Stegostoma tigrinum: one gene and its partners. The protein of the gene in region 4 purifies or fractionates together with the protein of the main gene of each other region. This does not show direct contact. Links are inferred from orthologs where the notes say so. Each region holds a gene or a part of one and is shown on either strand. Other genes may lie near its edges. The genes, in order: polr3c, polr3k, polr3f and polr3h.

The links.
Region 1: the proteins of polr3h (region 4) and polr3c purify together in Homo sapiens (affinity purification with mass spectrometry; 5 studies listed by BioGRID and IntAct, with this or other methods). This does not show direct contact. The link is inferred for Stegostoma tigrinum from reciprocal best matches to the Homo sapiens genes POLR3H and POLR3C.
Region 2: the proteins of polr3h (region 4) and polr3k purify together in Homo sapiens (affinity purification with mass spectrometry; 3 studies listed by BioGRID and IntAct, with this or other methods). This does not show direct contact. The link is inferred for Stegostoma tigrinum from reciprocal best matches to the Homo sapiens genes POLR3H and POLR3K.
Region 3: the proteins of polr3h (region 4) and polr3f purify together in Homo sapiens (affinity purification with mass spectrometry; 4 studies listed by BioGRID and IntAct, with this or other methods). This does not show direct contact. The link is inferred for Stegostoma tigrinum from reciprocal best matches to the Homo sapiens genes POLR3H and POLR3F.

What each region holds. Positions count from the first base shown.
Region 1 is NC_081400.1:582,313-590,197, forward strand, and holds the start of polr3c (DNA-directed RNA polymerase III subunit RPC3), read right to left. Parts: upstream 3,017-7,885; 5' UTR 2,915-3,016; intron 2,353-2,914; 5' UTR 2,320-2,352; coding exon 2,173-2,319; intron 1,836-2,172; coding exon 1,580-1,835; intron 989-1,579; coding exon 803-988; intron 1-802. Other genes in the region: rnf115a (E3 ubiquitin-protein ligase RNF115), read left to right, coding at 3,167-3,244. UniProt on the Homo sapiens protein: DNA-dependent RNA polymerase catalyzes the transcription of DNA into RNA using the four ribonucleoside triphosphates as substrates.
Region 2 is NC_081376.1:5,098,693-5,106,547, forward strand, and holds the start of polr3k (DNA-directed RNA polymerase III subunit RPC10), read left to right. Parts: upstream 1-4,847; 5' UTR 4,848-4,871; coding exon 4,872-4,982; intron 4,983-5,468; coding exon 5,469-5,556; intron 5,557-7,855. Other genes in the region: snrnp25 (U11/U12 small nuclear ribonucleoprotein 25 kDa protein), read right to left, coding at 1,420-1,608. UniProt on the Homo sapiens protein: Core component of RNA polymerase III (Pol III) which synthesizes small non-coding RNAs using the four ribonucleoside triphosphates as substrates. Can mediate Pol I proofreading of the nascent RNA transcript.
Region 3 is NC_081362.1:22,718,587-22,725,907, forward strand, and holds the start of polr3f (DNA-directed RNA polymerase III subunit RPC6), read left to right. Parts: upstream 1-4,313; 5' UTR 4,314-4,728; coding exon 4,729-4,784; intron 4,785-7,321. UniProt on the Homo sapiens protein: DNA-dependent RNA polymerase catalyzes the transcription of DNA into RNA using the four ribonucleoside triphosphates as substrates.
Region 4 is NC_081391.1:6,524,964-6,532,646, reverse strand, and holds the start of polr3h (DNA-directed RNA polymerase III subunit RPC8), read left to right. Parts: upstream 1-4,669; 5' UTR 4,670-4,736; exon of another isoform or gene 4,737-4,772; intron 4,773-4,796; exon of another isoform or gene 4,797-5,016; intron 5,017-6,620; 5' UTR 6,621-6,645; coding exon 6,646-6,756; intron 6,757-7,683.

The DNA of each region.
Region 1 (7,885 bases), on a different chromosome or scaffold from region 4:
CTTCTGCTGGAACCTTTCTCTCTACAACTCCCTGGTCCACCTACAACACCACACCACACTGCCACAGCACCTTCCCCTCCAATCACAGAAGGTGCAACACTCATCTGCTTCCTTCCTCGCTTCTCACTATCCAAAGTCCTCGGCACATCTTGCAGCGATTTACTGCACTTCATTCAATCTAGTCAACTGTATTCACTGCTCACAATGAGGTCTTCCATTCTGTTTGTAAAAGTGACCCTGAGCTTCCCCACCCTGCCATGTTCCCTGGCCGAAATCTCTGTGTCAGGCTTGCTGCAGTGCTCCAGCAAAGCTCAGCACAAGCTGGAAGTAGAACACCTCATTTTCTGCTTAGGGACCCTGTAGGACTCAATACTGAGTTCAATAAGTTTCTATGTCCTTTAGCAAATCCCACACCCCAGGACCTATCATGGCAAAGGCTGCTTTTAGCAGAGCCAACATTTTCATTCACTTATCACTCACCCAGTTATCAGCTTTTCTTTCTCTCTAGTTTACTATCAGCCATCTCGTTGTCCCTCAGAGCTCCATCTCCACCAATCCTCTCACTCCTTCTCTTACTCTACCACCCCATTCCCCCATCTTCAGCATACAGACCACCTGCTCCCAGTTACTATCGGTTCGGAGGAAGGTTCACTGGACCCCAAGCGCTGACTCTGCTTTCTCCTCACAGATGGCGCCAGGCCTATTGGGTTTCTCAAGCAATTTCTGTTTTTGATGAAGGAAAAGCTTCCCAGCTTTGGACAAGCCTTGAATGAAAGCAGAGAGCAGGTTTGTGACACCTTACCAACAACACTGAGATGGGGCACAGTGTACATCTCTTTCTCATCAGTGACCAGTGTTGGAGCATGAGGGGGCTGCAAGCCTTCAGCAACCACACACTCAGAGACCAGGGCACATTTCTGCAGGAAGTGGGTCTGCACCAATCGGATGAAGGTATTCGAGGTCTCACTGTGTTCCCCGGTTTTACTGTCTGTGCAGAGGAAGAGCCAAGGACGTGAGAAACACTACCCAGATGAAGCATTAGCCAGTAAGACTGTGCTCACCATTCAGAACAATAACAACCCCACCCCCTCACCCCCTGCCTACCGTACACAACTCCCCCTCCCCCCTCCCAGCCCCAGCATACATGACTCGGCCTCCCCCACACAACCCCACCGTCCGCAACTTCCCCTCCCCTCACCCCCTGTCCACCGTACACAACTCCCCCTCCCCCCCCAGGCCCAGCGTACACGACTCCCCCTCCCCTCCACACGTGGGCTCCCTCATCCCCACAGTATGCAGGCCCCCACCACACACACCACCTCCTCCCACCATCCCGTATGTGGCTCCCCCTCCCCCCACCATACACAACTCCTCCCCTGTACAAGACCCCCTCTTACACATCCCCTCAGTCTGTACACATGCAACCCCCACCCTGATCCCAGTATAGTCTTTGCTACTGATCTTTCCTTCGTCACAAACTCACATATACTCCCTGCCAGGATCCTCTTTCCCCTCCCCTCCCCTCCTCTACATTCGAATGCTAGTTGCAGCCTCCATCTCTTCCTTCATGCACTCTCACCTTCCATTGTTTCTCTCAGCCTGTCGGCCACTTTCTTCACAACTGCACTCATTGTCATCTTGCCATTCTGCAGCAGTTCCTCCACAATCAGCTCCCCTGTGTCTCCGTACAGTGTCTTAGCTGAGTAGATATAGCGTGGGTATCGCAGGATGCGAATGATGTGTGCACAGTGCACTTCATACTCTACAAAGCCCCTCTTGTGCACATGATAGGAAGCAAAGTTGTGGTGGATCAAGACGCAGAGAGCTTTCTTAACCTGGAACATTGCAGTACGACAGTCAAGGTCCCTGTACACCAAACTTTCCCCTCTACATGTACCACTGACACCCGTCTGCTAGCCAAGGCCCAGTTTCCAGCCATGCTGTGATCTCACCATGTCCCACTCCTCATCCTGTCAATGGCACACACAGAGTCTGGAAATTTATGTGGCCAGCTATAGTAAGCTTTTCTCTTAGCTATGGAAGAGTCTGATCAGCTATCTCAGATTGGTGCCATTCCTTCAACTCCCATCAGCCCTTAGCAGCAAACTGCACCACCACACCCCCTCTCTACCAGCACCCACCCGCCACCCCCGACCCCACACAAACACACACCTGATCAATCGGCGTTTCAGTATCTTTGGCAATTAGCCGGAGAGGCTGGCATCCTGTGCGAATTAGGTGGGTGCCAACTTTGGCTACAATTTCACCGTAGTGTGCCTGGAGCAAGCAGGAGCAGATCTGTGACTCAACGTGTGTCATTCCTGATTAGGTTCAATCTCATCAGAGTCCGTCCTGCAAAACCACATGAATCACTACTAATTCAGTAACAACTTCGAAGTCAGAGACTGCTAAAACAATACCTTCAGTCTGAGGAAAAGAAAACAGCAGGAAAAAATGTGAAGGGAACAGGAACAGACAGTGCAGCAGAAACTCAGAAATTCCGGCAGTGCCTGGCAGAGAGAAGCAGAGTTAAAGCTGTCAGTCTGAATCTGACAGGTTCTGAAGGGGACTGGAAACAGTGACTCTGCTTCTCTGTCTCCACAGTTACCGGTGGAGCTGCTGAGTTTCTCCAACACTTCACTGTTTTCATTGCAGACTCCCAGCATCACAGTATTTTCATACGAAGTGGGCTAGTGACATTCAGACAGCCGACAGGAACAGGATGGAGGGAGCTTCACTCTGCATCTAACCCCGTGCTGTCCCTGTCCCTAGGGGTGTTTGATGGGGGACAGTGTAGAGGGAGCTTTACTCTGCATCTAACCCCGTGCTGTCCCTGTCCCTGGGAGTGTTTGATGGGGGGACGGGGGGTGAGGGGACATCGTGTAGCCGAAGCTTTACTAAAGCTAAAACTCACTGCAATCTACGAAGTGCTCTCCCTCCTTCTATTTCCCTCCTGGGACCAAAGCCCCCACTTCCTCACGGTCCCTTTCCGGTAGTGATGGTCTTTATGTTCCGGATACTTTGGTTCCTACTGACCCGATACCGCAGGAACATCCGGTTTGTGCCCCGCACCAAGATGGCGGCGTGCCCCCAACCTCATAAATTCCAGAGTCCACTTCCGGGTAGCTCGGGGCTTTCCGGGAGGGCGCTGACGTCAGCGGATAAGATGGCGGAGGCGGCGGCTGTGTCTCCGCTTCGCTTCTTCTGTCACTGCTGCAAGGGAGAGGTGTGCCCCAAGCTACCGGTAAGACAGGCCCCGAGCCCAGCGTATACTGCCTCGTCCCCCTTGCTCCGGGAAACTGCTGGTCTTCACCGGGGAGGAATCACTATCAGTCAACCCGAGCCTCAGGAGGGGGAGGGGGATACTCCGCAATCTTAACCCAATCCGCCGCTCCTCATGGTCACCATGGAGACTGATCCCCCCACCCCCCCCCATGGTCACCATGGAGACTGATCCCCCATCCCCATGGTCACCATGGACACTGATCCCCCCCCACCCCCCCATGGTCACCATGGAGACTGATCCCCCATCCCCATGGTCACCATGGACACTGATCCCCCCCACCCCCCCATGGTCACCATGGAGACTGATCCCCCATCCCCATGGTCACCATGGACACTGATCCCCCCCCACCCCCCCATGGTCACCATGGAGACTGATCCCCCATCCCCATGGTCACCATGGACACTGATCCCCCCCACCCCCCCATGGTCACCATGGAGACTGATCCCCCATCCCCATGGTCACCATGGAGACTGATCCCCCCAATCCCCCATGGTCACCATGGAGACTGATTCCCCCCATCTCCGTGGTCACTATGGAAACTGATACCCCCAACCCCACCATGGTCACCATGGAGACTGATTCCCCCCAGCCCTCCATGGTCACCATGGAGACTGATCCCCCAGCCCACCATGGAGGCTGACCCCCCAGCTCTCCATGGTCACCATGGAGACTGATCCCCCAACCCTCCATAGTCACCATGGAGACTGATTTCTCCCATCCCCATGGTCACCATGGAGACTGATCCCCCCCCCAACCCCGCCATGGTCACCCTGGAGACTGATCCCATCATTCCCATGGTCACCATGGAGACTGATTCCCCCCACCACTGAAGACTGAAGGAGACTTAACACCCCGCTACATCCCATGGGGACTGAACACGCGCCCCCGACATTCCCAGGGTCACCATGGAGACTGAACCATCCCTCAGTGCTCATTGTGGTGACTGTCTGTTCCCCTTACCCCTCCCACAGTCGCCATGGAGACTGAGCTCTCCATACCATGGTCATCATTGGAGATTAATCTCCCCCATCCCATGGTGACCATCTCCATGGAGACCTCCATCTCCCATCTCCTCCCAGTCCAGAGCTGACAGTCTTCAAATACATTTTATTCCTCCTGGTGCAAAGCGAGTCCTAGCCAAGGCTTTCCTCCAATGAATTATGTTCTTGCGTTCAAACATTGGCCCAGAGTTATGTTTGCTTTTGCAAGGGTTGAGTGTGATGGTTGTGTTGATTATGGCCCTTGTAATAGGATGGGTACATCAAATTACTCAGTGAGCAACTCAGTAGTGGTCTGAATAATTGTGCAAAATTTGATGGTGACTGTATTGTGGAGACTGACTAAATGCTTGGACTGCCTTAAACAGTGATGCTTATGGAATGTGGAACAGGCTGTAATTCTGGATGTTAAAAATATGAATGAGTTTAAATAATAATGATGTTAAATCGATATGCTCTTAAAATTCTAGTTTCTAACTATCTGTTTTGATGTCAGAAGGTCCTTCACACTGTCAACCAGTAACCCATCTCCCCCCGAACCCATGTTACTGACTGCATCTCTTCTGATATCATCAAACTCCCTTGCATTGTCATTCCGTAACCCTTCTTCTTCCCAGCATTAAAAATGTAACTGACTGTATCTCCATCAAAAGTGGTCCACCTCCCACTTCCCCAGCGCTTGGTGTTCCTGATTCTATCTGTACTGATAATAATCCAGTTACAGTCACTCAGTAACAATTCCGCCGGGTAGTGTCCTAGGTCCAACAAGCTTCAGTGACTTCATCAATGGCCTTCCCTTCATCATAAGGTCAGAGTGGGGACATTAACCAATGCTTGTGCAATGTTGAGCACCATTTGTCACTCAGTAACCCCTCACCCCGAAACAGTCTGTGTCCAAATGCAGCAAGACCTGGACAATATCCAGGCTTGAGCAGAAAAGTGGCAGATAATGATCACGCCACATAAATGCCAAGCAATGAGAGACAATCTGCCCACTGCCCCTTGGCATTTCCATCACTGAATCCCCTGCTGTCAACATACTGAGAGTTATCATTGGCCAGAAACTCAGCTGGATTTGCCATATAAACACTGTGGCTAGAAGAGCAGGTCAGAGACTAGGAATACTGCTGCAAGTAACTCCCCAGGGACAAGGGCAGCAGACAACGTGGAAACACCAACACCGTCTGCAAGCTCTGCTCCAAGCCACTTACCATCCTCGCTTGTAAATATATCACTGATTTTCACTGTCACTGGGTCAAAGTCCTGGAACTCCCTCCCTAACAGCATTGTGGGTCTATCTGTAGCAGCTTAAGAAGACAGCTCATCCAACACTTCTCAAGGGCAACTAGGGATGGGCAACAAATGATGGGCGAGTCAGCAACACCCACATCCAATAGGTGAATAAAATTAAACTGTTTTCCCCAGCGCCCTGTGTCAGTGACTGTATCTCTGCTGATGTTAATCCAGCACTCTTAGTATCTTTAAAATTATTAATTGGTCTCTCTGTCCAAGTCACCTCAGATGTATTCAATGTGTTAGTGTTACTGTTTTTATTTTGCTTTTGCTGAGGTTCATCTTAGTTTGATTCCTTCCATTTTATTGATGAGCAGCCTACAAGATTTAATAATTTCCACTGAATTTCCTGTCTCTGAATTCAAATTGGACTCAGTTGTTATCTGATAGAAGATTTTCAGTTCAGTTTGAAACCAAGGTGGAACCAAGTCTTTGGAAACTGGTCACAGTTCAGCCTTCCGGGGTTTGTAAGATAGAAATATCTGTATGTTGAAACTTGATTAGGCTCTCAGGCCAACTCTGCTGAAAGAAATAGGGAGAGACTTATAGAATCTTGGGTTACTTTCTATTGACCACTTCAGTCTGAAAAACCGAAAACTAAGTCCAGAAAGGATTGATAAGCCGCCAATGGCAGAGAGCTCCCAAAATTTTGTCAAGCCTGGTTATTCCAGCAAACAAAGGTCATAAACCATTTCTCATGTCGCTCAAAACATTGCTGGTCTTTTCTGCAAAGTCACTTGTCGTCTGAAAACAGCAGGCCATAAAATCACTAACATCATTTCCAAGAAATCTTGGGGTAAAACACCTCTTCAAATCAGAATCTATATAATTTCTGGTTTTCCTTCAGTCCCTAAGTATAAATTTGCATTTGTAACGTTACTGTGGATGCATTTTATTGTTTCTAGAAGGTGATGGTGAACTGCCATCTTGAACTGTTGCAGTGCGTGTGCTGTAGGTTGATCCATAGTGTCCTCAGAGTAGGAATTCCAGGATTTTGACCCAGTGACAGTGAAGGAACAATGATATATTTCCAAGTCAGGATGGTGTGTAGTTTGGAGGAAAATTTGCAGATGGTGGTGACCCCATGTATCTGCTACCCTTGCCCTCCTCAATGGAAGTGGTCATGGGTTTGGAAGGTACTGTCTAAAGATCTTTGTTGAATATCTGCAGTGCATCTTGTAGGTAGTACACACTGCTGCTGCTATTCTCAGTGGATGCTTGTGGATGTAGTGCCACTCAGAGGTGCTGCTTTGTCCTGGATGGTGTCAAACTTCTTAAGTGCTGTTGGAGTTGCACGAATTCTGGAAAGTGGGGATATTCCATCACACTCTTGACTTATGCCTTGTAGATAGTGGACAGGTTTTGGGGAATTGGGAGGTGAGTTATTCACTGGAAGATTTCTAGTCTCTGACCTGCTCTTATAGTTGCAGAATTTATAATGCTGGTCCAGTTCAATTTCTGTTCAATGATAACCCCAGGATGTTGACTGCATGGCATTCAGTGATGTTAATGTCATCGAATGGCAAGGTTGTGAGCAGATTGTCTCCTATTTGAGACGGTCATTATCTGGCATTTGTGTGATGTAAATGTTATTTGCTACTTGTCAGCACAAGCTTGGATATTATCCAGAACTTGATGCATTTCAACATGGACTGCTTAAGTATCTGAGTAGTCATGAATGGTGCTGAACATCCCCACTTCTAACCTCATGATGGAGGGGAGGTCATTGTTGAAATAGCTGAAGATATTTGGGCTTAGGACACTACCCTGGAGAACTCCTGCAGAGGTGTCTTGGAGCTGAGTTGACTGACCTCCAACAACCACAACCATCTTCTTGTGTGCCAGGTTTGACTCCAACCAGCAGAGAGTTTTCCCCTGATACCCATTGCTTCGAGTTAGTTTGGATTCTGTGATGCCTCAGTCAATCAAATGTGACCTTGTGTCAAGGGCAATCACTCTTGCTTTACCTCTGGAATTTTGCTCTTTATCCATGTTTGAACCAGAACTGTAATGAGGCTGGGAGCTTAATGGCCTTCATGGAACCCAAATTGAATGTCAGTGAGTAGGTTATTTCTGAGCAAATATTACTAGATAGCACTGTTGATAACACCTTCCATCACTTCTCTGATGACCTAAGAGTAGATTGATCAGGAGGTACTTGGCCAGGTTGAATTTGTCCTGCTTTTTGTGTACATAACATACTAGGGTAATTTTCCACACTGTTGGGTGGATCAGTGTTGTAGCTGTACTGGAAGAGCTTAGCTTAGAGTCTGACAAATCCTGGGGCACAAGTCTTCAGCACCATTGC
Region 2 (7,855 bases), on a different chromosome or scaffold from region 4:
GTGGGTTTTCTCTGGATGCTCCACTTTCCTCCCACAGTCCAAAGATGTGCAGGTTAGGTGGATTGGCCATGGGAAATGCAGGGTTACAAAGGAAGGGGAGAGGGGTGGATTTGGGTGGTATGCTCTTTGAAGGATCAGCATAGACTCGATGGGCCGAATGTCCTACTTCCACACTGCAGGGATTTGGAGTACTATTTTACTTGGTTGTATTTATAAAGAAAAACATCTTAATTCATGTCAAATTTGTCTTTTACGAATCGTATACAAATTATATTAGGGTCTCTGCCCGCATACTTTTTTTAAAATCTAACACAATTACTTGTCCTATTGAAGGACAATGAAATTAGACCTAGCGAAAACTATTCTGGCCAGATCGTACCCAGGAGTTTATATTCTTAACAAAGCCTACAGGCACAAAGACACTGTATTGCAATTCTTAATGTTTGGGGAGGTGGTGGTGCACAGGTAATATCATTAGGCTAGTAATCCAGAACTGCTAGACATGGATACAAATCCCACCATGTCAAATTATGAAATCTCAATTAAACAGAAAATCTGGAATAAAAAGCTGGCCTACTGAAAATGTTGTAACACTGTCAATTGTAAAATCCAATCTGATTAACTAAAATCCTCTGGGTAAGCAAATCTGGGCATTCAATTGTGATCTCCCTGCTATGGAAAGGGTGTTGTTAAACTTGAGAGGGTGCAGAAAAGATTTACAAGGATGTGGCCAGGCTTGGACGTTTTGTGCCACACGGACAGACTGAATAGGCTGGGCTATTTTCCCTAGAGCATCGGAGGCTAAGAGGTGACCTTGTAGGGGTTTATAAATTCATGAGGGGCATAGATAGAGTGATTAGCCAAGGTCTTTTTCCCAGGGTACAGGAATCCAAAACTAGAGGTTTAAGGTGAGAGGTGAAAGATTTAAAAAAGACTTGAAGGGAAACTTTGTCATACAGAATGTATGGAACGAGCTGCCAGAGGAAGTGGTGGAGGCTGGTTCAATTACAATATTGAAGTGGGATCTCGATGGGTACATGAATAAGAAGGGTTTAGAGGGATATGGGCCAAATGCTGGCAAATGGGACTAGATTAATTTAGGATATATGGTTGGCATACAGAAGTCAGGCCGAAGGGTCTGTTTCCATGCTGCACATCTCTACGACTCTATGCTATGTGGTCCGGCCTACATGAGATTCACAGTGATGTGGCTGACTGTCAACTGCCCACTCGGCAATTAGGGATGGGAAATAAATGTTGGGTCTAGTCAGCAATGCCACATTCTGTGTACAATTAAAAGACCAGAAAAAGATTTCCATTGATCAAACAGTATTCGCATTCTTGATATCAAACATCATCACTGATAAAAATGTAATTATTGTGAATGTGTAAAGCTTATGATTAAAATAAACCACAAACCTGAACTGGAAGATCACACAGCAATGGATCCTGGACAATCATGGCCAGACCTTCCTGAAATAGGTCCAGGATTTCTGCATGCGATAACTCTTCCTCCTCTTCTACAGCTTTTTCTTGATTGACTACGGCAAAATTTTCTTCCTGCTTAATGTTGGTGGAAAGTGGTTCCTTCTTAATGTCTTCAGTCATCCTCAGTGAATCTTTCAGTGGAATTTAAATGAGAATTGGATTATTATCTGGAAAAGAACGTGCAGAGTTATGGAGAGAAGGTAAGGGAATAGCACTGGGAAAACTGCAACTTTGGAGAGCCAATACAAACATGGCCACCCTCTGTGCTGTAACCATTCTGTGAGTTCAGTTCTTTTTCACAATAGATATTCAAAGCCTCCATGCTTATTATATTAGCCTCATTAGCATTTAAAACACTTGTCAATCTTGCCAATTGCTAACTAGCTCAGTACTGAATCACAGTGGAGTGGACACAGGAGATATGATAGGGCATGGAGGGGGAAAAGAGGTAGTGTGTGTGGGATGGGGGAGGAACGGGAGATATAGAACATAAAACAGTACAGCATAGGAACGGCCCCTTTAGCTCACAATGTTGTGCCGGCCATGACACCAAGTTAAGCTAATCCCTTCCATCTGCCCATGGTCCACATCCATCCATTCCTTTCTTACATACGTGCTTATCTAAAATCCCCTTAAATGCCCCTATTGTATTTGCATCCACCACCACCATGGCAGAATGTATTTAGGGCTATGGAGGAAAACTTGGGAAATAAACTATTCTGCGAAACTGATGATCTATCCAGTCAAGAGTTTTGGATAAGATGATTCCTTAGTACTTAATGATCGGGAACTGCCTCACTTGGAAAACAGGTAGTTTCTTCCAAAATACTTGCTCTAATTTGTGGTTTTGAACTTAGTCATTCTGCAGTCTCCTTCATTCTGACTGTAAACTGATCCACGGTGTACAGTAGGACCTGAATTCTCCCTGTTTCTCACTTCCTGCTGTGATGAGTTGATTTATTTACTGTCTGTTCTTTTAATCTCTGAAATCCATGACACCACATTCCTATAGTCTCTCCCACGTTAATTGCTGTGGCTGTTGTTTCTCTCCCTTTCAATCCTTGTTTTTCTCTTTCTGTCTGTCCCCATCCATCCCACTGTCTGGCTCTCTGTCCTAATCTCTGACTCTCTCTCTCTCTGATTCTCTCTCTCTCTGTTGCTGTCTGTCTCTGTCTCTGTGTTTTTGTCTGAGCTGTTTCTGTCTCTCTCTCCCCCCTCTCTGTGTTTGTCTGTCTGTTTCTGTCTCTCTCTCCCTCTGTGTTTTTGTCTGAGCTGTTTCTGTCTCTCTCTCCCTCTCTGTGTTGCTGTCTGTTTCTGTTTCTCTCTCTCTCTCCCCCTCTCTGTTTCTGTCTGTGTCTGTTTCTCTCTCTGTGTGTTGCTGTCTGTGTCTGTTTCTGTCTCTCTCTCTCTGTGTTGCTGTCTGTGTCTGTCTGTTTCTGTCTCTCTCTCTCTCTCTGTGTTACGGTCTGTGTCTGTCTCTCTCTCCCCCCTCTCTGTTTGTCTGTCTGTTTCTGTCTCTCTCTCTCTGTGTTTCTGTCTCTCTCTCCCTCTCTGTGTTTCTGTCTGTGTCTGTTTCTCTCTCTCTCTCCCCCTCTCTGTTTCTGTCTCTCTCTCTCTCTCCCCCTCTCTGTTTCTGTCTCTCTCCCTCTCTGTGTTTCTGTTTCTGTCTCTCTCTCCCCCTCTCTGTTTCTGTCTGTATGTTTCTGTCTCTCTCCCTCTCTGTGTTTCTGTCTCTCTCTGTGTTGCTGTCTGTGTCTGTTTCTGTCTCTCTCTCCCCCTCTCTGTTTCTGTCTCTCTCTCTCTCTCCCCCTCTCTGTTTCTGTCTCTCTCTCTGTGTTGCTGTCTGTGTCTGTTTCTGTCTCTCTCTCCCCCTCTCTGTTTCTGTCTCTCTCTCTCTCTCCCCCTCTCTGTTTCTGTCTCTCTCTCTCTCTCCCCCTCTCTGTTTCTGTCTCTCTCTCTCTCTCCCCCTCTGTTTCTGTCTCTCTCTCTCTCTCCCCCTCTCTGTTTCTGTCTCTCTCTCTCTCCCCCTCTCTGTTTCTGTCTCTCTCTCTCTCCCCCTCTCTGTTTCTGTCTCTCTCTCTCTCTCCCCCTCTCTGTTTCTGTCTCTCTCTCTCTCCCCCCCCTCTCTGTTTCTGTCTCTCTCTCTCTCCCCCCCCCTCTCTGTTTCTGTCTCTCTCTCTCTCCCCCCCCCTCTCTGTTTCTGTCTCTCTCTCTCTCTCTCTCCCCCTCTCTGTTTCTGTCTCTCTCTCCCCCTCTCTGTTTCTGTCTCTCTCCCTCTCTGTGTTTCTGTTTCTGTCTCTCTCTCTCTCTCTCCCCCTCTCTGTTTCTGTCTGTATGTTTCTGTCTCTCTCTCCCTCTCTGTGTTTCTGTCTCTCTCTGTGTTGCTGTCTGTCTCTGTTTCTGTCTCTCTCTCCCCCTCTCTGTTTCTGTCTCTCTCTCCCCCTCTCTGTTTCTGTCTCTCTCTCCCCCTCTCTGTTTCTGTCTCTCTCTCTCCCCCTCTCTGTTTCTGTCTCTCTCTCTCTCTCCCCCTCTCTGTTTCTGTCTCTCTCTCTGTGTTGCTGTCTGTGTCTGTTTCTGTCTCTCTCTCCCCCTCTCTGTTTCTGTCTCTCTCTCTCTCTCCCCCTCTCTGTTTCTGTCTCTCTCTCTCTCTCCCCCTCTCTGTTTCTGTCTCTCTCTCTCTCTCTCCCCCTCTCTGTTTCTGTCTCTCTCTCTCTCTCTCCCCCTCTCTGTTTCTGTCTCTCTCTCTCTCTCTCCCCCTCTCTGTTTCTGTCTCTCTCTCTCTCTCTCCCCCTCTCTGTTTCTGTCTCTCTCTCTCTCTCTCCCCCTCTCTGTTTCTGTCTCTCTCTCTCTCTCCCCCTCTCTGTTTCTGTCTCTCTCTCTCTCCCCCTCTCTGTTTCTGTCTCTCTCTCTCTCTCTCTCCCCCTCTCTGTTTCTGTCTCTCTCTCTCCCCCCCCCCTCTCTGTTTCTGTCTCTCTCTCTCTCTCCCCCCCCTCTCTGTTTCTGTCTCTCTCTCTCTCCCCCTCTCTGTTTCTGTCTCTCTCTCCCCCTCTCTGTTTCTGTCTCTCTCTCTGTGTTGCTGTCTGTTTCTGTCTCTCTCTCTCTCTCCCCCTCTCTGTTTCTGTCTCTCTGTGTTTTTGTCTGTGCTGTTTCTGTCTCTATCTCTGTCCCTCCTTGTGCCTGCACACCCTCCCCTCGACCCCAGCCGGACAGAGTTTGTTCAAACGGACTCCAGACCCTGATCCTGACACGAGCACGCACTGTCTCTGTTCCTCCCTCTCTCCGAGGCCTCGTGGTCCGCACCAGCCCTTCCCCCACCCCCGGAACCAAAATCCGGGCGCACGGTGAGAAGGCTCTGGGCAGTGTTTCTGTTTCCGGTTCCGGCGATGCTGCTCTTTTGCCCGACCTGCGGGAACGTCCTGATTGTGGAGGAGGGACAGAAATGTTATCGTTTCGCGTGTAACACCTGTCCGTACGTTCACAACGTCACCCGGAAGGTGGGGGACGAGACTTAGGGGCCGGGGCCGGAGAAGGGGGTCGGAAATGAAGGAAAGCAGGATGGGAGAAGGTTAGGATAACAAGGTGTGAGGCTGGATGAACACAGCAGGCCAAACAGCATCTCAGGAGCACAAAAGCTGACGTTTCGGGCCTAGACCCTTCATCAGAGAAAGAAGGGGGGGGATGGAGAGCAGAGGGGGAGGGGAGAGTGGGATGTAGGGAATGGGGTGGGGTATCGATGAGGAAGGAGATTGAGTGGTGGAGGATATTTTATTCATACACAAACGTATTTATTAAGCTGATTGTACCTTGTTGAAAATGTTTATACCTGGATGAATGGGAAATGGCTGAAATATGTGATACTTTAGAGACTAATGTAAATTGGAAATCAATAATGACTGTGTTCAGGGCACTTTCCTTTGAACTCACTTTATTGACTTGCTTGTGTGCAAAATAACAAGTGATATTTTTCCTTTGTATTGAAGGTAACAAGCAGAAAATATCCCAAGCTTAAGGAAGTCGATGATGTGTTAGGTGGAGCTGCTGCTTGGAAAAATGTTGACTCTACAGCAGGTATGGTAATTAAAACAACTTGTCACGTGAAAGATGAGGTTGGGTAATATGGGTCACGTGATAGCTTGCATTATTCTACACAGTTGTTTTGTGTAACATTCCCTACAGAGATCCTTAGCTTTTACTTAGATTCTCTATGATGTGGAAACACGCGCTTCGGCCCAACAAGTCCACACCGCCCCTTGCAGCATCCCACCCAGATCCATCCCCCTGTAACCCACGCACATCTGAACACTACAGGCAATTTAGCATAGCCAATCCACCTAGCCTGCACATCTTTGGACTGTGGGAGGAAACCGGAACACCCGGAGGAAACCCACGCGGACACGGGGAGAATGTGCAAACTCCGCACAGGCAGTCGCCCGAGGCTGGAATCGAACCTGGATCCCTGGTGCTGTGAGGCTGCAGTGCTAACCGCTGAGCCACCATTTTAAAAGATAATTCAAAATTCCGGTTCATTGCTCAGAGAATGATGCACTGAGATTTCACATTTTAAGACATATTGTAACAAATGAGTGAAGACACTTAACTAATACATTTTCTTGAAAGACAACATGTACCATAACCCATAAAGCCCTTATTCTGAGCAAAACTGAAGAAGAGAACACAGTTCAAACATATTCTTTACACTTTCCTTCATGTAGGCATTAAATATTCCCAGGATCAATCCAAAGTGATACTGGGATACCAGGGTTAATGCAAAGTACTGCAGATGCTGGAGAGCTGAACTAAAAACATTGTTGGAAATACCTGGATCATCTTACCATTACCAATAACACCTACACTTCATCTGTATCATTTCTCTCCCTCCATGCACATTCTCTTCATCTTTTATTCTGGTGTGCATTCCCAGCTTGCTCTTCCTGTTCCATTTCCAACAACATAACAACTATCATTTTTTCCAGACATAACAAGGTGTAGAGCTGGATGAACACAGCAGACCAAGCAGCAGCAGAGGAGCAGGAAGGCTGACGTTTTGGGCCGAGACCCGTCTTCATTTTTTTTCTGAAGGGTCTAGGTCTGAAACGTCAGCCTTCCCTTTCCTCTGCTGCTTGGCCTGCTGTGTTCATCCAGCTCTACACCTTGTTATCTCAGATTCTACAGCATCTACTATCTCTGAATCATTTTTTCCAGCCTACTTCTGAAGAGAAGTCTCACAGAGTTGAAATATTCCCATTTTGCTCCCCACAGAGGCTGTCAGACTTGAATTTCTTCAACATTTTGTTTCTATTCTTAGCCCTGAGAAATAATTTTTTTTAAATTTTTCTGGAGACACGCTTTCTGTAGCCCTAAGTGGTTCCCCAGCCTCATGTTGTCTCCCTGTGAGTTTGATCTTTTCCATCCAAGCATGATTCCAGTATGGTTCCAGCACTTTCAGACTTTTTGCTTACTAGCTGCTCCCTCAATCTTGGATCGAGATGTCAGAACAGCTTTGTTCTACCTTGCATTAAAGACACAGTCCTAAACAAAACAAACTCATATTTGTAGTCAATACAGTGTGGAGCTGGAGGAACACACCAGGTCAGATATCATCTGTGGAGCAGGAAAGTCGACATTTCGGGTTCACACCCTTGATCAAACCGCTGTGTTCCTCCAGATGACTCTGACTCCGGCATCTGCAGTTCTTGCTATCGCCAAACTCATATTTGTAGCAGGGGGCAACTTTAACCTAAAGACACAAGTGCGGATCTCGCTATAGCAGCTTCCTTCTCTAAGTTATCTTAAGAGCTGTCATAGATCCTTGGCAAGACTGTCAAATTTATGTTACCAGGTTAGGGACCAGTAACTTTAAACACTAAGTACATGAAGTTTAAAGTTGCAAGAACTCACTAAGATTAATGCTGTAGGATTCTGTTTTTAAACAAATAAAATAAACTTGACTTTACAAGGTTAGGAAAGTAATACAGTCTATAACGTGCATGCAGCTTTGACAGCCATAATTAATGTGAAGTATATTTAGGTTTACAGCCAAATATTGGTTGAACATCACATAGAGCATATCCAATATCAGATCAAGCAGGTCGAGAGATCCCAAGGATTTCCCAGCAGCCCAGCCAGATGTTCGTGACACTGTGGGCACAAAATCTCATTTAAAATTTTGCTCTCTGCAGAGAGAAATAACTCTGAATCGCTCTCAAAGCTACTCTTGACAGACTGTGTTTCAAAATTCATCACATTTAGATAATTCAATCTCTCCTTCTGAGACCACGTTGCCTGGGACAGGTTGAATAGGTTAGGCCTGTGCTTATTTGAATTTGGAGGAATGAGTGGTGACCTTATTGAAACATGTAAGATTCTT
Region 3 (7,321 bases), on a different chromosome or scaffold from region 4:
ATCTGCTTCAATCATCGCATTTAGAATTTACATTCTCAGCATTTTCTGTGTAAAGGAAATCTTCTGAATACTTTATTTTACCTGTTATTGGCTATCGTATATTTTTGCCCCCTCGCTGTGTACTCACACACAAGTGGAAACAGTTTCCCCCATCTGCCCTATTGAGCCGTTTTACAATTTTAAGACCTCTCCTCGGTCTACTCAGCCCTTTATTTCTAAAATCATTGTACCTGTCTATACCAATCACTAGATCATTTTTTCTAATATCAACATCTGGTTAATTCTGTAAATCCGATCACCCCAGTGTTTTTTTTTCTGCATTTATTCAGTACTTCACTATCCCTCCTGCAATGTGAAGACCAAAATTTGGATGGAGTACTCCAACTATGCAAGCAAAGTTCAATAAAAATGTAATAATACCTGTTGATTGTTGTTTTATTCTTTCCATAATGGACCCATGTGTTTTCTTTGCACACTTTATAGTCTTGAGAAGTTTTGTTGGTAATAACCTTCTTCAGGCTGTCTACATCTGAAGATCTGGAATTCCCTCACTAAAGCTGTATCAAACCATTTTTTTCCCTTATTCATTTGTGGGATTTGGGCATCTCTGGCTCGCCAGCATTTCTTGCCCATTCCTACTTGCCCTGGAGAAGGTGGTGATGAGCTGCCTTCTTGAATGACTGCGGTCCACCTGCTGTGGGTTGACCCACAATGCTATTAGGGAGGGAATTCCAGGATTTTTGACCCAGCAACAGTCACGGAGCGGCAATATATTTCCAAGTCAGGATGGTGAGTGGCTTGGAGGTTGTAGTCTTCCCATATGGCTGATCCCCTTGTCCTTCTAGTTGGAAGTAGTTGTCAGTTTGGAAGGTGCAGTCTGAGGATCTTTGGTGAATTTCTGCAGTGCAAGTTGTCGGTAGTACACACTGCTGCTACTGAGCATCAGTGGTGGGGGAGTGGATACTTGTGGATGTAGTGCTAATCAAGTGGGCTGCTTTGTCCTGGATGGTGTCAAGCTTCTTGAGAGTTGTTAGGGCTGCACTCATCCAGGCAAGTGGGGAGTATTCCATCACACTCCTGACTTGTGCCTTGTAGATGGTGGACAGGCTTTGAGGAGTCAGATGAGTTACTCACCTTGATTGACCTCCAGCAACCATGACCATCTTTCTATGTGTCAGGTATGAATCCAACCACTAGAGAGTTTGCCCCTTGACACCCATTGATTCCAAGTTTGCTATGGCTCCTTGATGCCACACTCAGTTGAATGCAGTCTTGATATCAAGGGCTGACACTCTCACCTTACCTCTGGAATTCAGCTGTTTTGCTCATATTTGAACAAACAAGGGTTCCCAAGCAGAATATGAGTCGCTGTTCCTGTAACCTTTGGGTAGCATTGTTGTGGTACTGCAGGAGGTCCAGGATGGACATGTCGTCCGAGAAATGGAACTGGGAGTTGAAATGGTTTGCAACTGGGAGGTGCAGTTGTTTAGTGCGAACCGAGAATTCTTCGTAGGTTATGTGGAACAATCCCTCTTACCTACCTATACTGACCCTAAACCCCACCTCTTCCTCCGTTACATTGATCATTGTATCGGCGCTGCTTCATGCTCCCACAAGGAGCTTGAATAGTTCATACACTTCACCAACACCTTCCACCCCAAACTTAAGTTCACCTGGACCATCTCCAATACCCCTCTCTCCTTCCTGGACCTCTCTGTTTCCATCTCTGGCAACCACCTAGAAACCAAGATCCATTTCAAACCTACCGACTCTCACAGCTACCTAGAATACACCTCCCCCCACCCATCTTCCTGCAAAAATGCCATTCCCTATTCCCAATTCCTTCATCTCCACCGCATCTGCTCCCAGGATGAGGCATTCCACTCCCGTACATCTCAGATGTCCTCATTTTTCAAGCACCGCAACTTCCCCCAATCAGTGGTCGAGAACACCCTCGATCGTGTCAGCCGCAACTCATCCCTCACACCCCCTCTCAACAATAACAACCAAACCAGAATCCCCCTCGTCCTCACATACCACCCCACCAACCTCCAGATCCAACCCATCAGCGTCCAACACTTCCGCCATCTGCAATCCGACCCCACCACTCCACATTTTTCCCTTCCCACCCTTATCTGCTTTCTGGAGGGACCACTCTCTCTGTGTCTCCCTTGTCCACTCCACACTGCCCTCCGGCACCACCACACCCAGCACTTTTCCCTACAACTGCAGGAAGCGCTACACGTGACCTTACATCTCCTCACTCACCCCCATCCCAGGCCCCAAGAAGACTTTCCACATCAACAGATGTTTACCTGCACATCTGCTAATGTGGTATACTGCATCCGCTGTTCCCGTTATGGCCTCTTCTGCATTGGGGAAACCAAGCGGAGGCTTGGGGGGGGGGCTGCTTTGCAGAACACCTATGCTCGGTTTGCACTAAACAATTGCACCTCCCAGTCGCGAACCATTTCAACTCCCCCTCCCATTCCTCAGACAACATGTCCACCTCGGGCCTCCTGCAGTGCCACAATGATGCCACCTGAAGGTTGCAGGAATAGCAACACATATTCCGCTTGGGAACCCCGCAGCTCAATGGTATCAATGTGGACTTCACAAGCTTCAAAATTTCCCCTCTCCTTACATTCCACAGTCAGCCCCGCTCGTCTCCAACTCCCTAACCTGTCCTTCCTCCCACCTATCCCCTCCTTCCACCTCAAGCCCCTCCCCCAACTCCTACCTACTAACTTCATCCCACGCCCTTGACCTGTCCGTCTTCCCTGGACTGACCTATCTCCTCCCCACCTACACTCATTTCTACTGGCTCCATCTCTGCCTCTTTGACCTGCCTGTCTCCTCTCCACCTATCTTCTCATCTCTCCATCCTCTACCCCCCCCCCCTCCCCTCTCTCCCTATTTATTTCAGAGCCCCCTTCCCCTCCCTGACTTCTGAAGAAGGGTCTAGGCTTGAAACATGAGCCTTCCTGCTCAGTCTGCTGTGTTCATCCAGTTCTACACCTTGTTGTCACTGAGCAGGTGCTGCTTGATAGTACTGTTGATGACACCTTTCATCACTTTACTGATGACTGAGAATAGACTGATGGAGTAGTAGTTGGCTGGGTTGGGTTTGTCCTGTTTTTGTGTACAGGACATTTGTGGACAATTTTCCACACTTTTGGTTAGAGGCCAATGTTGTAACAATACTGGAACAGCTTGGCTTAGGGGAGTAACAAGTTCTGGACCATGAGTCTTCAGTACTATTGCCAGAACGTTGTCAGGGCCTCTAGCCTTTGCAGTATCCAGTGTATCTTAATGCTTAATTTTTTTGACAAATATTTAGATTACCAGTGATTGATTTATTTGTATTCCCCAAAAAAACTTTGTTCCTTGTCCCATCTTTTTAATGTGAGAATTTGAATCTGAAATGCATTAACTTGAAGGGGTGGTGGAATTGGATTTTGGACTAACTTCCAAATGGAACTTGTATAAATAATAATACAAAATGTAGGTGCTCTGCATAAATAGCTTCAGGTGAGGAGAAGATGCATGATTAAAAACTAAAAGAGCCAAAAGGTTGCTGGGTTATGGTACTCCAGTTGGTTTCAAGTAAACGGCTGTCTTCACAGTTATTGGTGGCGTGAAGTTGCTGCAATTCCGTAATAAAAACTGAAGTCACCACATAAAGATAAGTTTAGTGATCAGTCTCTCAACACTTTAATCCGGTAAGTGTTAAATTGATGGGAGTAACTGTGTGGCTCAGCGAATTATTTACAAGCATTTTATTTTTACTTTGTTTGCTCTTGCTCTTAACCCGAAATTTCTCCTTCTCTTCCTCACCCCCGCCTTTTTCTTGTGCGCCTAATGTGAAATTAAACTTCAGTCACATTACACTTATTCTTCCTCACTCTTGCTCCCGTTATTAAATTGCCTTAAATCTAACTAGTGAATGAGATCCAGTTTTGTTTACAAAAACAGGTTGCTGGAAAAGCTCAGCATATCTGGCAGCCTCTGAAGAAAAATTTAGAGTTAACGTTTCGGGTCTACTGACCAGTTTCTTTTGTTTAACCTTGCTGCACCATTAATATATCCTACATAAAGCGACTTGCCATGCAAAACAAAGCTAAATCGTAAACTAAATTAATGTATTTTTAATGCATCCTTTTTCCGCTCCCAGGTTACTCCCGGAGGGATGGTAAACGTGTTGTCACGTGATTGTGTTTCAAAGGGCGAACAGAGTCCGCAAAAGCGCCAAACCCTGGTTAGGCCCCAGCTCAAATTAAACAGCTGCTTCTCAGATTGCCGGAGAGGAAGAAAAGTCGAGCTGGGGAAGGCTATCTATTGAACTAAACGTGTGCCTCTTTGGTCTTTCACTATTTTCAGAACTGTCTTGTAAGATACGGCAGCAGAAAAAAAAAACTGCTTGTAATTAACGACGGGAAGCGAGGAGTGTAGACTGGCAAATGAATCTCTTGCCCAATAAGAGATTGAGACTGCAGAATGAAAGGTCCCCTAGTTCAAGAGGCTGAAGTAATTTGCTGCTGTAGATCGTTTACCCCGGAGCTGGAGGGTGAGCGTGCAATTTGGAACATTCACGCTGAGGTTTGATACAACGTTGAAACGCAAGAATTGCAATATCGGACCGAGGGGGCCAGTCAGCACCGCTACAGACCAGATCCGCAAACAAACCCTTCAGCCACCAATATATTGTCATGCTGTACAACTGAAATCATGGCTGACGTGACAGTGAAGCAAGAAGCAGTAGATTCTGTGGGACTGGAAAGCAGGTAGTTTTTGTGTGGTTGGCTACGATGACAAGGTCGGGGCCGTTTTCGCGTTGTAAAAATTCTGAGTGAAGAAAGGTCGTCACTGATGCTATGAAAATTTCCATGCTTTTAAGACTTCGAGCAATGAGAGTATTTAACCTCTGTCTTCGCCGCATCTCCTAGCCGTGTTGTTTGTCTTGCTTACGTTGCACTTAGTAGAAAGGGTCAGTTCGCTGCTTTTCACATCTCAATTCACATTTTGATTTAAGATAACTAAGTGTGAAGCTGGATGAACACAGCAGGCCAAGCAGCATTTCAGGAGCACAAAAGCTGACATTTTGATTTGATTAGATTAGATTACCTACAGTATGGAAACAGGGCCTTCGGCCCAACAAGTCCACACCGCCCCTTGAAGCATCCCACACACCCCTGAACACTACGGGCAATTTAGCAAGGCCAATCCACCTAACCTGCACATCTTTGGACAGTAGGAGGAAGTCCACGCAGACACGGGGAGAATGTGCAAACTCCACACAGTTGTCCGAGGCTGGAATCGAACCCGGGTTCCTGGTGCTGTGAGGCTGCAGTGCTAACCACTAAGCCACCATACAACCCTTGCATCTTTTCCACTATTAACAACCCTCTTGTATTTTGCTTTGGGCCTCCATACAATCTTCGCTCTTGCTCATCGACTGTCTTTTGTCAAAAAGTATTTTTTTAAAAAAAACATTTCCAGTTTTCAGTTCTGATGAAGGCATACCTGACTCAAAATGTTGTCTCGCTCTCTCCACAGATGCTAAACTTCTCCATGTTGCACCTTTTTGAATGTAATGGAATAACCTTAAGCACTTCACAGACATTATAGAGCAAAATATGATGGGGAGCCTCATGATCAAAAGCTCAGTGAGGGGTGTGGGAGTGGGAAATGATTGAGAGGCAGAGGCATAGAGATATACAGCGTGAAAACTGACCCTCTAGTCCAATTCATCCATGCTGACCAGATATCCTGAATAAATCTAGTCATATTTACCAGCGTTTGGCCCTAAATCCTTCCTACTCGTGTACCCATCCAGATGCTATTTAAATGTTGTAATTGTACCAGCCTCCATCACTTCCTCTGGCAGCTCATTCCATACACAAACCACACTACATGAAAATTTTGCCCCTTAGGTCTCTTTTTAAAAATCTCTCTGCTCTCAACTTAAACCTATGCTGTCTAACTTTAGACACATCCACCCAGGAATAAGACCTTGTCTCAGCCCACCACTGATGCCAGTCTCACTGGTCTACAATCCCGGGCTTTTCTTTGCCTCCTTTCTTAAATAGTGGCACAACATTAGCCAACTACCAGTCTTACGACACCTCACCTGTGGCTATTGATACAGTATCTCAGCAACGGTCCCAGCAATCTGTTGCCTTGCATCCCCCAGAGTTCTAGATTACACCTGATCAGGTCCTGGGGATTTATCTACATTTTGTGTTTGAGACATTCAACACTTCTTCCTCTGAAATATGGACATTTTTCAAGATGGTGCTATTTATCCCCCAAGTTCTCTAACTTCCATATTCTTCTCCACAATGAGCACTAATGCAAAATACTCATTTAGTTTCTGCTCCATCTCCTGTGGTCTCACGTGTAGGTAGCCCTGCTGATTTTTAAGTGGCTGTATTCTCTCCCTAGTTACCCTTCTGTCTTTAATGTAACTTTAGATTTCTTTTGGATTCTCATTAACTACATTTGCAAAAGCTATTTCACGTTCCTGTCTCTCTCTTTTTGCCGTCATGACTTCCCTCTTCAGTATATTCCTACTGTTGTTATACTCTCTTCTAGGGATTCACTCGATCTCTACTATGTATCCCTGATGTATGCTTCCTCCTTTTTCTTGATGGAAACCTCTAGTCATCCAGCATTCCCTATACCTATCAGCCTTGTCCTTCACCCTAACAGTAACATACTGTCTCTGGACTCTCATTATCTCAATTTTGAATGTTATCCATTTTCCAGCCATCCCTTTTCCTGCGAACATCTGACCCCATCAACTTTTGAAAGTTCTTGCCTAATACCATCAAAATTGCCCTAGCTCCATTTAAACTTTTAACTTTTAGATCCAGTCTATCCTTTTGCATCACTATTTTAATTATCATCACTTGCCCCAAAGTGTTCCCCCACTGACACCTCAGTCACCTGCGCTGCCTCATTTCCCAAGAGATGGTCAAGTTTTGCACCTTCTCTAGTAGGTACATCCTCATACTGAATAAGAAAATTTTCTTGTGCATACTTAACAAATTCCTCTTTATCCAAGCCTTTAACACTCTGGCAGTGCCAGTCCACTTTTGGAAAATTAAAATCCCCTACCATAACCACCCTATTATTCTTGCAGATAACTGACACCTCCGTACAAAGTTGTTCTTTTTTCAATTTCCTGCTGATTTACCGGGGACATCTATATTACGATCCCAATAAGGTTTGTCATTTCTTTTCTTTCTTCTCAGTTCCACCCAAATTACCCGTCTGGACATAAACACCAATACCCGTCCCCTCTTCCCACCACCACTCC
Region 4 (7,683 bases):
TGAACACAGCAGGCCAAGCAGATTCAGAGGAGCAGGAAGGCTGACGTTTTGGGTCTAGACCCTTCTTCAGAAAAATGTCAGCTTTCCTGGTCCTCTGATGTTGCTTGGCCTGCTGTGTTCGTCCAGTTCCGCACCTTTTTGTCTCAGCAGTTGCTGGAAAAGCTCAGCTGGTCTGGCAGCATCTGTGAAGAAAAAGTCAGAGTTAATGTTTTGTGTCTGGTGACCCTTCCACAGACCCTTCCTTCTGTTTTTGTTCCTGACTTACAGCATCTGCAGTTCTTTTGGTTTTTCTGTATGAAACAGACCTCAGATTAAATCTTTAATCAGTTAGAAGGTTTTAACTGATTAATTATGTACACTAAACGTGGTGGAGGCAGGTTCAATTGAGGTATTCAAGAGGAGCAGTGGATGATTATTTGGATCGAGATGGTGTGCAGGGAGATGGGACAAGGTAGAAGATTAGCACTAGACTATAATGCACATTTGAAAAGCAACAATGGACTGAACGCTCTCCCGCATTGTAACAATTCTGTGATCTTGTCTCTCTCTCTCTGTCTAGAATTTTCTCTGAAAGTCCGGTGTCCATCACTTGAATCACTCACAGGATGAAGCAATCAAGCACTGCACAAGGATCTGTGATCAGACTAACTTAGCCAAACAGTACAGTCCTGGTGTACGCTCGTTCTGTCAGCAACACACTCGACTCTAAGTGAATGATATCTGTGTTGAGTCGGCTACTCTCATCAAATGGATGACAGCTCTATACCCAAAAGTATTCGGTCTGGCTGAGGCGTCGCAGCATCCTGAGCTTCTGTGGAAGCAAAAACAAATCAACGTAAAACTGAGTGCAGAATAGGCCATTCAGCCCCTTGAGCCTGCTCTGCCATTCAATAAGATTGTGGCTGATCCGTATCTAACTCCAAATCCACATCCGCTTCTGATAACCTTTCACCGCTATCCACTTCTGCTTTAAAAAGATTCACAGACTCTGCTTCCAGCAACTTTTCAGGAAGAGCTTTCCAAAACCTCATTGCTCTCGAAAACAGACAGGAAATGTCCATATCTCTGTTTTAAATTTTTTTTTAAACAATCACTGTCTTTCCAGTTTCTCTCCTAAAGGGAAACATCCTCACCACCTCTGCCTGGTCAAGCACACCCCCACCTCAGGATTTTTATATCTGTCAATGAAGTCACTTCTTATCCTTCTGCAGCAGAAAGCTCATCCAACCTTCCCTCAAGAAACAACCTTTCCCTTCCCAATTATTAGCCCAGTAAAGCCTTTTATGAACTGCTTGCAATGCTTTTACATTATTCCGTAAATACAGAGAATAGTACTGTACCCCGTACTCGGGATATGGTCTCAACTGTGCCCTATATAACTCAGCCACAATCATCCTACATTTGTATTCAGTTCCCCCCATTCTATTGGCTTTCCTAATTACATGCTGCACCTGCATACTAACCTTCTGCGATTCAGGTATGGGGGTACCCAGATCTGTTCTGTACCTCCAAGCTCTACAATCTCTCAGCATTTAGATAATAATGCTTCTGTTTAAGACCTCTTGCCAAAATGGACAATTTCACATTTTATTACATTTACCCGATCTTTGCCCACTTGCTGAACCTATCTATAACTATCCACAGCATCCTCATGGAATCCCTACAGTGCACAAAGACGCCATTCAGCCATTGAGTCATCACTGACCCTCTAAAAAGCATCCCATTCCCCCACCCATCCTATCCCTGCATTTAGTTCGGTCAATCCACGCTAACCTGCACATCTTTGGACTGTGGGAGGAAACTGGAGCACCCGAAGGAAACCCACGCAGGCACGGGAAGAAAGTGCAAACTCCACACAGACAGTCGCCCGAGGCTGGAATCAAACCCAGGTCCCTGGTGCTGTGAGGCTGCAGTGCTAACCACTGAGCCCCGTGCCACCCATGTTACTCATGTTCTCTTCACAACATACTTTCCCACCTATCTTTATATCATCAGCAAATTGGCAAACACACCATCTGTCCCTTCACCCAAATTTGTAAACGGTTGAGGTATCAGCACCAATCTCTTCGACACAATGCTTGTTACATCTTGTCCAACTGATAAAAGTCCCATTTGTACCCACTCTCTGTTTTCTACCAGCCAGCCAGCCTTCTATCCAAATAAAAACTGAAAGAACTGGAGATGGTGTACATGAGAAATATATGAGAACAGGTTAGGTGGGTTAGCCATGGGAAATGAAGGATTATAGAGATAGAGCGGGATGCTTTTTGGAGGGTCAGTTTCGATTCGTTGAGCTGAATGGTCTGCTTCCACACCATAAGGAATCTATGATTTCAAAAACAGAAGTTGCTGGAAAAGCTCAGCAGGTCTGGCAGCATCTGTGGACAGAAATCAGAGTTAACGTTTCAGGTCCGGTGACCCTTTCTCGAAACTCAGTCTTTCATCCATGTAACCAACTACATCATGAGCTTTTTTATGCGCAATGATTTTTCACGTGACACCTTATTGAATGTTTTCTGGAAATCTAAGTGCAGTATATCCACCTTTTATCCACTGCATGTATCACCTCCTCAAAGAACTCTAATAGATTGGTCAAATATAACTTCCCTTTGACTAAACGAAGATAGTGGACATCGACACTGGGAGACCGGATGCTGGTGGGAAGGGAGCTTGAAGGTGGTGTTCCCATGTATCTGCTGCACTTGTCCTTCTAGATGGAAGTGGTTGTGGGTTTGGAAGGTGCTGTCTGAGGATCTTTGGTGAATTTCTGACATGTATTTGTAGATAGTACTCACTGCTGCTACTAAGCGTTGGTGGAGGAGTGAATGGATTCTTGTGGATCCAAGCAGCTGGCTTTGTCCTGGATGGTATCAAGCTTCTTGAGTGTTGTTGGGGCTGCACTCATCCAGGCAAGTGGGGAGTATTCCATCACACTCTTGACTTGTGCCTTGTAGGTGGTGGACAGGCTTTGGGGAGTCAGGAGATGAGTTACTTGCTGCAGGGTTCCTAGCTTCTGACTTGCTCTAGTAGCTACTGTATTTACAGGGTAAATACAGTTCAGTTTTTTTAGTCACTGGTAACACCAATGAATGTCAAGGGGTGGTGGTTAGATTGCATCTTATTAGAGATGGTCATTGCCTGGCATATGTGTGGCACAAATATTGTTGTCATTTGTGAGTTCAACCCTGCATATTGTCCAGATCTCATTGCATGTAAACATGGGCTGCTTCAGTATCTGAGGAGTCATGAATGGTGTTGAATATTGTGCAATCATCGGCGAACATCCCCACTTCTGACCTAATGATGGAGGGAAGGTCATTGATGAAGCAGCCGAAGATGGTTGGGCCTAGCACACTACCCTGAAGAACTCCTGTAGAAATGTCCTGGAGCTGAGATGAGTGACCTCCAACAACCACAACCATATTTCTATGTGTCAGGTGTGACTCCAACCAGCAGAGGGATTGCATGCCGCTATCCACTGATTCCAGTTCTGCAAGGGCCCCTTAGTGTCACACTTGGTCGAATGTGGTCTTGTTGTCAAGGGCTGTCACTCTCACCTCACCTCCGCATTTCAGCTCTTTTGCCCATGTTTGAACCAAGGCTGTGATGAGGTCAGGAGCTGAGTGGCCCCAGCAGAACCCAAACTGGGCGTCACTGAGCAGGTAATTGCTGAGCAGGTGCTGCTTGATAGTACTGTTGATAACACCTTCCATCACTTTACTGATGATCGAGAGGAGACTGATGGGGCTGTAATTGGCCGGGTTGGATTTTTTCCTGCTTTTTTGTGTACGGGACATACTTGGGGGCAATTTTCCACATTGCTGGGTAGATACCAGTATTGTAACTGTACTGGAACAGCTTGGCTAGGGGAGTGGCAAGTTCTGGAGCACAAGTCTTCAGTACTATAGGTGGAATGATGTATCCTGTGCCTCCAAGCATTCCTTCATATCACGTGGGGGTGAATCAAATTGGCTGAAGACTGCTATCTGTGATGCTGGCAACCACTGGAGGAGGCCGAGATGGATCATCCACTTGGGACTTCTGGCTGAAGATTGCTGCGAATGCTTCAGCCTTATTTTTGCACTGATGTACTGGGTCCTTCCATCATTGAGGATGGGGATATTTGTGGAACCTCCTCCTCCAGTGAGTTGTTTAATTGTCCACCACCATTCACACTGGATGTAGCAGGACTGCAGAGTTAGATCTGATCTAGTAGGAACTGCAGATGCTGGGGAATCTGCGATAACAAGGTGTAGATCTGGATGAACAGGAGGAGCGTCTAGGCTCAAAACATCAGCTTTCCTGCTCCTCTGATGCTGCTTGGCCTGCTGTGTTCATCCAGCTCTACACCTTGGTATCTCAGATCTGATCTGTTGGCTGTGGGATCACGCAGCTCAATCACTTTGGATTTTGGATGTTCAACCCAAAGTAAAACATCACTTTGAGAAAAAAAATGACTGGTTTCCGATACAGTTGCATTCGCTTCAAGTTCTTTGTTGTAAAACCTGTGCGCTCCTGTTCACTCGACAAATGCTGAGCTCCCTCCTTCTCAGGTGTCCAAACATCTTGAAGGGTGTCCGGGGCAGGGCCGTCGCAAACTGCCGTAAAATTCAACGGCAAAAGCTAATGGCGTGACCTCCTGCCGTAAAAAAGAACGCGCGCGCCTCCCCCCCCCCGACCGTCTGCCGTAAAGTGAATTTGAACGAGTGGAAGCCGCGGAATGGGAACGTGCGAAGGTCCGATGGCGGCGGCGGGACATGGATAGAAAATGGGTAGAGGCTCGGCCCCGAACCTGGATGGTTGAGGCTGTTGCTGCTGCGAACGCGACCGGAGTCTGGGGCCTAGGGCCTGGCGCCTGGCTCCGAGGCCTGGGGCCCGTGACTGCAGTCGCTCCCTCCGGCTCAAAGCTGCCAATATTGAGGCCCTGAGCCTTACCCCCGCCCCCCGCGGCTTTGGCTGACCGTAACTTTCGGGAACCTCAGTCAGTTCTTTGGGGGAGGTTTCTCAAAGTAGTCAGTAAGTTTGGAGCTGACTGCCAGCGCATTGCCCAAACCGCCCACCTCCCCAGACCCCCCGCATTTTAATCAATAGATCTCACACTCCGTAAAAGCTGCATTTCTGTAGCGCCCTTCAAGACCTCAGGACGTACCAAAATGCTTCACATACAATAAGATGCTTTCCTTCTCCTCTTCCTCCCCCATTACGTCTCAGCTTCAGTTCATTTGCGGCAGAAACCCTCATTCCTACCTGTACTCCACTATTCCAGAGAGTCCCTGACTGTCACCCGCCCTGTACCCTCGGCTTGCTTGAGTTCGTCCAGAATCGCTGTTTATCTCAACTTGCACTGAGTCCCAAAGGAACTGTAGATGCTGTAAATCAGAAATTGTTGGAAAAAAGCTCAGCAGGTCTGGCACCTTCTGTGGAGAGAAGTCAGAGTTAACGTTTCGGGTCGAGAACTGTGAGGAAGGGTCACTCAACCTGAAAAGTTAACTCTGATTTCTCTCCACAGAAGCTGCCAGACCTGCTGAGCTTTTTCCAACAATTTCTGTTTTTGTTTCTGATTTACAGCATCTACAGTTCTTTTGGGACTCAGTGCACATTGACGTGAACAGCCGTTCTGGATGAACTCTGACAAACTGAGGGTAGAATGTGGGTGACCGACTGGGAGTGCTCTGGAATAGTGGTGAGCCTGGGAGTCACCTGAATGTCAGCAAGCACTAGAGTGATAGGGGTGCAGGACTACATACGAAAACAGAAATTGCTGTAAAAGCTCAGCACGTCTGGCAATATCTGAAGAGGGAAATCAGAGTTAACGTTTCAGGTCAAGTGTTGTGAGGAAGGGTCACATGACCAGAAACATTAACTCTGATTTCTCTTCACAGAAGCTGCTGGACCTGCTGAGCTTTTACAGCAGTTTCTTTTTTTGCACCTAGTCCTGTGCCCCTGTCACTCTGGTGCTTGCTGACATTCAGATGACTCCTAGGCAAAGGAATGACATAAATTAGGGTGAGATTTTTAAGATATTAAATCCCTTTGTGGCTTTGCCGTGCTCTCTATATCTAGGTAATCCTCTCTACTCTAGCCCTACAAACACATGAGATACTTGTGCTTCTCCAATTCTGATCCCTTGAGCATTCCTGATTTTAATCACTTCACTGTTGATGGCTGAGTCTTCAGGAGACTGGGCCTCAAACTCTATAATTCCTGCCCAAAACTCTTCTGCCTCTCTCTATTCCTTTAAGACACTCCTGAAAGATCTTGGTCATTTGCTCTACTATCTCCCCATGTGGCTTACTATCAAATTTTGTTTGGCAACTGCTCCTGAGAAGTGCCTTGGGATTTTTGCCATAATAAAAGTGCTACAAAAATGCAGGTCCTTTGCATAGTTCAGCACCCTCCTTTGCATTTGCCAGTGGTGCAGATAGATGTACAGCATGACATGACTTAAATAGACTGTTGGTTAATCGCACTGTGACTTAATGCTGTATTATCAATAAGACTTTTTGTCAATTCAAATAAAAAGCAGTCCTTTTTATTATAGGAACTAACTTCATGAGTGTCCTCACTTTTCCCAATTATGGTGAACAGTGTTTAAGTCATTTCTTCTCCTTCCTTCTCAGTGTGTTGATCCTATCTACTCGCAGCATGTTCGTCCTTGTGGAGATGGTGGATACTGTGCGGATCCCACCCTGGCTTTTCGAAAGGAGGCTGAATGATGCCATTGCTGAAGAGCTGAACAAAAAACTAGCAAATAAGGTGGAGAACCTCTTGTTAAAGCTGCGACCAGGCTGATTTGTTTCCTGTCAGTTCTTTTCATTTTTCATGGGATGTGGATGTTGCTGGGCATTACCATCCCTAGCTGCCCTGGAAAAGAGCGGCTTTCTTGAACTGCTGCTGTCCTTTTGGTGCGGGGTGTTTGCTGTTAGGGAGTGAATTCCAGGGTTTTGACCCACTGAAGGAACAGTGACAGATTTCCAGGTCAGGATGGCGAGTGGCTTGGAGGGGAACTTGCAGGGCGTGGTGTTCCCGTGTATCTGCTGCCCTTGTCCTTCTAGATGGAAGTGGTCGTGGGTTCGGAAGGTGCTGTCAAAGGAACCTGGGTGAGCCCCTGGTTTCATGTGGGACTTAGAAAAATGATTTTGATGAGGTAGCAGAGAAGGTTGATTCATTTAGTGTGATGATTGTACATACAGACTGTTGGGAGGCATTTGCCTGAGTGCCATGTAGGAGATTTATCAAAAATATGAAAGCCCCTTGAATTCGGGAGAAGTAGCAGTGGAGCGTTCAATTTATGGCAGCACAGAAGTAAATGTTAGGCTCATCAAAGTAGATAGAAAATTATCACAGTGATGGGAAGCAGTTACTCATTACAAAGAGATGGATGCTTCTTAGATTGGGAGGTAGCTTGTAACAGTGTCTCTCATGGTGACCTTTGGGTCCTGTACCCTGAAGTTGTTATTGATGACCTATGCTCTTGTGCAGAAAGTGGCATTATGAAGTTTACAGATGATCTGAATGTAAGATAGGTCTGAGCTTCAGATGATAATGATCAGGTTTTGGAGCATGACGTCCAGTGCAAGTAAGTGTGACATGATGCCCTTTGGGAGGATTAATATGGAAAGAAGCAATACAATAACAGCAAAAATTAGTAAAGCAAGAAATTTATAATAAAACAGAAATTGG